Coturnix japonica: one gene and its partner. The protein of the gene in region 1 purifies or fractionates together with the protein of each later gene. This does not show direct contact. Links are inferred from orthologs where the notes say so. Each region holds a gene or a part of one and is shown in the gene's direction. Other genes may lie near its edges.

Evidence for each region.
Region 2: the proteins of ACBD6 (region 1) and NMT1 purify together in Homo sapiens (co-immunoprecipitation; 3 studies listed by BioGRID and IntAct, with this or other methods). This does not show direct contact. The link is inferred for Coturnix japonica from reciprocal best matches to the Homo sapiens genes ACBD6 and NMT1.

What each region holds. Positions count from the first base shown.
Region 1 is NC_029523.1:5,796,577-5,800,392, reverse strand, and holds part of ACBD6 (acyl-CoA-binding domain-containing protein 6), read left to right. Parts: intron 1-1,162; coding exon 1,163-1,227; intron 1,228-1,854; coding exon 1,855-1,951; intron 1,952-3,816. UniProt on the Homo sapiens protein: Binds long-chain acyl-coenzyme A molecules with a strong preference for unsaturated C18:1-CoA, lower affinity for unsaturated C20:4-CoA, and very weak affinity for saturated C16:0-CoA. Does not bind fatty acids. Plays a role in protein N-myristoylation.
Region 2 is NC_029542.1:815,335-819,690, forward strand, and holds the start of NMT1 (glycylpeptide N-tetradecanoyltransferase 1), read left to right. Parts: upstream 1-1,417; 5' UTR 1,418-1,470; coding exon 1,471-1,598; intron 1,599-4,356.

The sequences.
Region 1 (3,816 bases):
CTTGATGGATGAAATGTAACTACTCTTCCCTGATTTGTATCACTATTGATGCTACTAACAATCATTCCAGGGCTGGAACAGCCTTTGAATGCCAAATCTAAAGAGAAGAAACTGCTCTCTTGTTTTGCTGCCATCATCATCGAAACAATTCATATTAAAAAAGATGGGATTTCTTTTGTCTGACCTGCTTGCATGTCGAACCAAAGAACTGCCAGGCAGGCACTTTCCTCTCACACAATGTTGTATAAAACAAATGGTACATACCATATCTGAGCACAGGAGAAAACGTTTACAGTACAAATGAGTGGTGATTGATTCACAGAGCTGAGCTGCTGCTCATCCTTTCCCTTGTCCCTCCATGAAACGCATTGCGTTGTTTTACAGGCCAGCTGGGATCCTAATTTGGATGGACTGCTTACTCACAGGCACTCGGATGCACGGAGAATTAATTTCAGTCACAGTCTCTCACGCTTTAAATGAAAACATAGTGTAACTAATAAATATCTCTCAGTGTGGGCACGCTCTCTTTAAAGCATGATTCATGATTCTCTCCTCAGCAAATATCCCCACCCTGCTAAGGTGAGGTTGACTTAAGCACTTCACCTGCCTGAACATTGGGGCATATTTCATTTCTAAACAAGAGGGGTGAAGGCAGTTGGGTTTTGCTTGGCTAACAAAATGTTCTGCCAGCAGCCCCTGCCCTCCTTCAGACCACAGCATCATACAATGGCTTCACCTGGAAGGGACCTCAGAGATCATTGAGCTGCACCCCACAGTGAAAGAAACGGCTTTGTACTTATCACATCAGGATGTCTTCCTATGGAAAGCTGTCTGCAGAAGTCCTGCTGGCACCAAGTCCATTTCACACCAAATAAAAGACTTCTTGTCCATCTGTGTTAGTTTGGGTGTCACGTTGGTTTTGGTGTTTCTGAACAAGAGTTGAGCCACAAAAGCTGTGTACAGGATCACACTCTGTGCTGCAGCAATACCCATCTGCTAACCCTGCCTTGGTGCTGCCACTGTGGCCTCCTTCCATCACACTGATCGTCTCAGGCCTTGGCTTATTGGCAGCTGGTGCTTCCCTTGCATCCAGATGGATGCCTCACAGACCATTCATGAGTTCTATTTGATTTATTCTAACAGAAAGAATTTTCATTTTCAGGTGAAATTTGGGACCTGTAACACTCCAAAGCCAAGCTTCTTCGATTTTGAGGGGAAGCAGAAATGGTAAGAGGAAATCCTTGCAACTCCTAGAGGCTCCTGGTTCTACTCTGTGCTGTGTTACAGACCGCACTGTGAGGATATCAGATCTGAGAGGCTGCCACTGAATGTGCTTTTGTTCCATATAGCATTGTCTGCACAAAAAGCATAGCTTTTTTTCTGCAAGTAGGGCAGAAACTGGTATTGCAGTTACTGGTATTGCAGTTACCAATTACTGGTATTGCAGGCCTGCAATGACAGACAGGATCAAGTCAATTTTCAACCTGAACAGCTTACTCTGCCTCACGCAGATGTGAAAGCCCAGCCTGTCTTTACCTTCTACACCCAGAATTGGCCTGCATACCATGAGAGCATTGTAAAAACAGCCAAGATAGCTGCATATAGGTTGGATCACAAACCACATTCCAACCTACATCTAGACCCCCTGAAAGGTGTTCTCATAGCAAAGTGCTGCACCTGCAAGAGCCATTCATAGCTTCATTGAGAAGCTGACCACTTCAGACTGGGTGGGAGGTGGCTTTACACCCCTTGAAACCATATGGATGGATCTTCTTGCTTTGTTTACTGATGACACCATAAAAACACGCTGTGCTGTCTCAGAGCAGCTCACTGATACATTGCTCTCTGCCCTAGGGAAGCTTGGAAAGCCCTGGGAGACACCACTCCCCATCAAGCTATGCAGGAGTACGTTGCTACAGTGAAAAAACTGGACCCCAGCTGGAACCCACAGGTAGGAAACACTGTTCAGAAAACAAATCAGCACCTGCACCTTCTGAAGCCAACAGTTCAGCTTCATGCAGAACTTAATTGCTGTATGGGAGACTTCATTCTGAGCAAATTAAGCTCTAACTTCATTTTGAAGCTCCCCTTTTGTTAAGGCCGAAGCACAAAAGAACCATCGTTTTCATTTGTAATTATCTTCATCCCAGTGAGCACACGTGCAGGGTTGATTTGGCTATAGCCATCTAATTTATTTTGCTTTTATCGGTTCATGCTGTATTTAGCATGTAAAGATACTTCTTATCCTTTTCTCGTCTTTCCCTTTTCAACTACTATTTAAATGTTGATCAATAGAAAGCAATCTCCATAAGAGTGACGTGAACTGAAGGATCAATTCTGAAAATGTTTCCTTTTTGTTTTGATGCAGCAAATCACCAAATCTGATTATGATGAGGTACTCCAACATAACAAGCGTGTTCTTGAGTCCTGTATGTGTTCGTTAAAGGGAGATTGTACTGTCATTTTAATTAGTCTGCCTTTCGTCTGTTAGGTTTATTACTTGATTGAGTATTTATGGATATCTCCCTGTTTATAGACTGATTTCTATATGATTTTTAAGAGGATTGCTCTTTAGAAAAATACTGCTTTTAACTGGAGTTAGAAGGGAGATGTTTCACTAATAGCAAAATGCTGACAGCATGGTAATTTCTTTGCACTGTAGGAAATTGATTCTCTTTTTTTCTCCCCCTCTTATCCTGCACTCTGGAAGCAGGATCCTGTGTGAGCACCAGCCTATGAATCAAGGACTTGATTCCCTCTTACATTCTGGTGCTGTTCTGGACTCATAAGAGTGATTGCTGCTTCTTGGCCAGCCTGTGTTCCACAGGTCTGATCCTGTTTTTGCAGAGAAGAGGTAATGCTGTTTAGAGACAACTGGGTAGAGCTGGTGTTCATCACAAGTGCTGTGACAGGTTCTGCTTTGAGTATGTTTTTCCCTCCTTGCTTCAGAAAGCTACTCTTTTTTGTAGTTATCCGTTTGGGTTACAAAGCTCTCTGCTATGGAGCTGGAATAACCTGGTGCTCTTCAAATCCTAAGAACTCATCCTACAAGCAAGGAGCTGGCTACAGTGATGTTCTTCCCTTCAAGCGAGGAAGGGATGGTTGTGAGAGCTCTTCTTTCACATAGCCCTGTGCACAAGACTCAGCAGACACCACACAGGGTAATGCTTCTGCACCAGCATTTGCTCTCTGGTGTGTGGTTCCATCTTCCTGTGGTTTTAAATAGTTGATACAGGAGGAAAGAGCAGTTCTAGAGCTTGAACAGAAGCTTCTCTGCTAATAGCAGGGCTAAGGCTGTCTGATCAGTTTTAAGAAATGCCATTTTCACTCTTCAAACACTTGTTGTGGCACTTCAGTACATAAACCTCTCGGTCTTGTAATCAAGCATGTATTTCTTGGCTTTCTGACACCAGTGGTTTTCTTATTCATACAGTCTGTGCCTTCACCACTGTAGCCCTTATTCTTTTCCCCTTACTCCTCACCCTGAGGGAGCTAGAAACCTTTTAAGAGATCTAAGACCTTTCCATGGAAGAAAACTGCTCAGCTGTGAAAAGGCCTAACAGAGGAAGTTAGAAGAACAAAGAATGCAATTTCAGAGTCAGCATTCAAGTACAGGCAGCACTCCTTTCTTCAAGAGAATTCACCTGTCCTCTCTATTGCATTTTCATTTTATCACCATTTTTGTACAGCTGAAATCCCACGAGGAGTCTTCTCATCCTTTGATCTCCCACTATTTCATCCTGCCACGTCCGCATTCAGGAGCCACGAGAGGGAGCTCTGTTCTTCCAAATGATGGAGTTGTACCCATTAGGGGAT
Region 2 (4,356 bases), on another chromosome or scaffold:
CCTGCGTCACGACTCAGTCTTACAAATGGGACCCAGAGAGGGCTGGATGCACTCAGCAGCAGCTGAAGGCAGTTCAGCAGAGGGAGGAAGTGGGAGTTAGCAGGGAGAGGAAAGCCAGCAGCACCTGCCAGCAGCTTCACTCCATGGCTGCTGAGAGCACACAGAGCCCACAGCAGCACCACGTGCGCTCTTCTCTTCCTTTTGGCAAACAGATGGGGTTAACTCCAGCAAGAAGGGGGAATTCAGAGAGGGCAGCAAACAAACATCAGTGATCTCTGAGAGGCTGATGTAAATCCTGAGCTTTGTTGCCAAGTGAGCACCTGACCCCGATGGGGCATTCCCTGCCCCCACCTTCACACTGGGTTAGGATCCAGCCCTGGATGTTCCACGTATTCTACACCCTGTGAGGTGGGCAGGGCTGGTGTGGGGAGAGCAAGGGGGAGAGGAAGGGGGTCAGGCCATCAGTGCACAACTTTCTATGGAGGAAACTTCTGTGCTTAGAAACATAAAACTCTCCTGCCCATGTAAAGCAAATACACTGTTTCTAAGCGCCGTAGCCCCGAGCTGCGGCCCCAGCTGGGACCTGGTCCCAACAAACCTATTTCTGTCCCGTGTTACGTGATCCCAATGGATCTATTCCTGTCCCTCTGTTACGCAGCCCCAACAAACCTTGTTACAGAGCTCAGTGCACTGTCAGCTGCTGGAGTTACCGAGGGGTAAAGCAGCATTAAAGGCTGTTTGCAATGGAGTCTGTCGGCACTTTTAAGGCCACAGAGACCACCCGAGCCCTGTGGTTTAATGATGGAGGGTTTGATTTGCACACAGGGACGCTCGTCCCTCCCTGCAGACGGGCAGGAGCCAAATGAACCAAAGCGACGGATCCAAGAAACAAGAGGAAAGAAAAACCCAGAAGGAACGGGGGGAATCGGGGTGATTTTACCACACACAACATTGAGGCCTAATGGAACAACACACCCCAAGGAGCCGAGGGTTTGAAGGGCAAAGTGCACCAGCTTCAGTCCGAGCCCAGCTCCGGCGATGATCGAAAGTGAAGTTCAAAGGGAAAATAATCACAAATAAACCACGATTTTAACGTGTGGATCCTCAGCCCAACGCGACCCGCGGCCCCTCAGCCGCGCTCAGCCAGGCCCGAAGCGTCGCCCCCTCACGCACTCACCCGCTGCCGGCTTCGCGCACCACGCAGTATAGCACACGCGGATTGGCTGATAGGAACTGAGGGTACTCCTCTCAGCCAATCAGCACAGCCCGCTTTGGAATCTGTCCCACCCCTCGGGTAGAATGAGCCTGGGGTGCGGCAAAGGCTGATGGGAATTGTAGTTCCCGCCCACGCCCGGCCCGGCCCCCTCCCTCCCGCTCGGACTACCGCTCCCGGCATGCCCCGCGGCGCGGCGCCCAGTCACAGCGCGCTTTGTTGTGGGGGTGCGGCAGCCGCCGAGGCCCCGTTTCAAGATGGCGGACGACAGTGAGACAGCAGCGAGGCGGCCGCCGGCGAAGCCTCACCGGCCGTCAGCGGAGGAGAACGAGCACGAGCACTGCAGCGACTGCGAGAACGAAGCGGAGCGCGGCTCCAAGCGCGGGTGAGCGCGGGGCGGGGGGGGACGGCGGGGAGCATTGAGGTGGGCAGCGGCCGGGAAGTCGGCTCCGCTCCGCCCCTCGCGCGCGCTGATTGGCTGATAGATAATATCGCGTGGTGCGATTGCACGAGACGGCTGTCAATCGGCGTGTGGGCGGGCCGTTTGGCGTCCATTCACTCCTATGTGTGTGAGCGTGTGTTGGGGCTGCGGCCGGGACCGGGCCTGGATGGGGGCGGGGGAGAATGGGGGCTTTAAATGAGCTGTCATTGAGCTGCCACCTTCACATCGGGTGTTGGAGGCTATAACGAGCGTATTGAGGAACTCACACCTTCAATCGGGGTGTTGGGGCATTAACCGAGGCTGTAAATGAATTTGACTAACATCACATCGGTGTAGTTGGGGCTATAACGCGAACTGTGCACTGAGCTTCATCACCATATTCACATCGGGGTGTTGGGGCATTAACCGAGCTGTGCATTGAGCTCACACCTTCACATCGGGGTGTTGGGCTATAACGAGCTGTGCATATGAAGATCACACCATTCAATATCGGGGTGTTGGGGCTATACCGAGCTGTATATTGAGCTCACACCTTCACATCGGGGTGTTGGGGCTGTAACCGAGCTGTATATTGAGCTCACACCTTCACATCGGGGTGTTGGGGCTGTAACCGAAGCTGTGCATTGAGAGCTTCACACTTCACACGGGGTTTGGGGCTGATTAAGACGAGCGTGCACTGAGCTCACAGACGCTTCACCAATCGGGGTGTGTTGGGAAGCTATAACGGAGGCTGTGCACTGAGCTTCACACCTTCACATTGTAGGTGTTGGGGCATTAACCGAGCTGTGCACTGAGCTCACACCTTCACATCGGGGTGTTGGGGCATTAACCGAGCTGTGCACTGAGCTCACACCTTCACATCGGGGTGCTGGGGATTAAACCGAGCTTGGCGATTGACTCACACACACTTCACATCGGCGGTGTTGGGGTGTAACCGAGCTGTTATTGAGCTCACACCCTTCAACACCGGGTGTGGGGTGTAAAGGAGCTGTACATTGAGCTCACACCTTCACATGGGTGTTGGGGCTATAACCGAGCTGTGCATTGAGCTCACACCTTCACATCGGGGTGTTGGGGACTATAAGATGCTTGTGCACTGAGCTCAACTTCCACATCGGGGCTCTGGGCTGTAACGAGCTAGTGCACATAGAGCTCACACCTTCACATCAGGGTGTTGGGAGCTAATAAAACGAGCTGTGCATTTGTAGCTCACACCTTCAACATCGGGGTGTTGGGGCTATAACTCGAGCCTGTGAGCACTGGCTCACACCTTCACATCGGGGTGCAATGGGCTTGATAACGCGAGAAGCTGTGCACTGAGCTCACACCTTCACATCGGGTGTTGGGGCTATAACCGAGCTGTGCACTGAGCTCACACCTTCACATCGGGGTGTTGGGGCTGTAACCGAGCTGTGCATTGAGCTCACACCATTCACACTGTTTGTGCCTCCGTGTGGCACATCGCAGCCACAGCAGCACCCACCTGCATCGCACCAAGGGCTTTTCAATCCCCATCTCAGAGATCTTGCATGTCAGGCAATAAATGCCATGCAGGATGTATTGCAGGAGCTGTTTTTTGCACTACAGATGTGCAGATCTGTTCTATTTGCCTCCTGGGTGTGGCATCGTGTCTCACGTCGTGTCTCCTTTGAATGGGTTGAGCCGTGCTTGGGAAGGATCCTCTTTTCCTCTTCTCTTTCATGATGAGGTTTGCAGGATCCAGAGCCAAGCACAGAGCACACATGGCATTCACTCAGTGCTGCTGTGCCTTCTCATTGTGGTTTCCCAGTACAGCTGTTGAGATGAATGGTGGCTGATGGGTGGGGTAGGAAGCGTTGGGTGCTGCTGAGCAAATCAGAGTCATTAAGATTGGAGGAGTCCTCTAAGATCGTCCAGTCCAACCCATCCCCACCATGCCCACTCATGGAGCATTAAGGCTGGAATAGACCTCTAAGATCATCTTGTCACACCTCAACCCATCCCCACCATGCCCACTCATGGAGCATTAAGGCTGGAAAAGACCTCTAAGATCATCCAGTCCAACCCCAGCCCATCCCCACCATGTCCGCTCATGGAATATTAAGGCTGGAAAAGACCTCTAAGATCATCCAGTCCAATCCCATCCCCACCATGTCCCCTCATGGAATGTTAAGGCTGGAATAGACCTCTAAGATCATCTCGTCCAACCCCAGCCCATCCCCACCATGCCTACTCAAGGAACATTAAGGCTGGAATAGAACTCTAAGATCATCCAGTCCAACCCCAACCCCACCGTGCCCCCTCATGGAATGTTAAGGCTGGAATAGACCTCTAAGATCATCCAGTCACACCTCAACCCATCCTGATGTCCTCTAACCATATCCCCCAGTGCCACATCTGTAAGGTGAGCACCGTTCCCAGCACAGAGCTCACAGGGGCAGTGTTTGGAGCAGTGCTCGGGGCTGTCCCTCTGCCAGTGCCCAGCTTGTGCTCACAGCCATCAGCTCTTGGCTCAGGGCTGTAGAACCCAGCACTATCACAGAGCGATAGCAGCACTTCCTTTCCTTTTAAGGACAGGAAAGAGGAATTGAGATCCCCCGCCCTGGTTCAGTGTCAGCGCTGGGAAGTGCCTCTCTGTGTTGAAGCATAGAGTTTGTTTTCCAACACAGAGTCACACTTTCATGTTTATTCTCATTTCCTTTATGTGAAAGCGGCGTTTTGT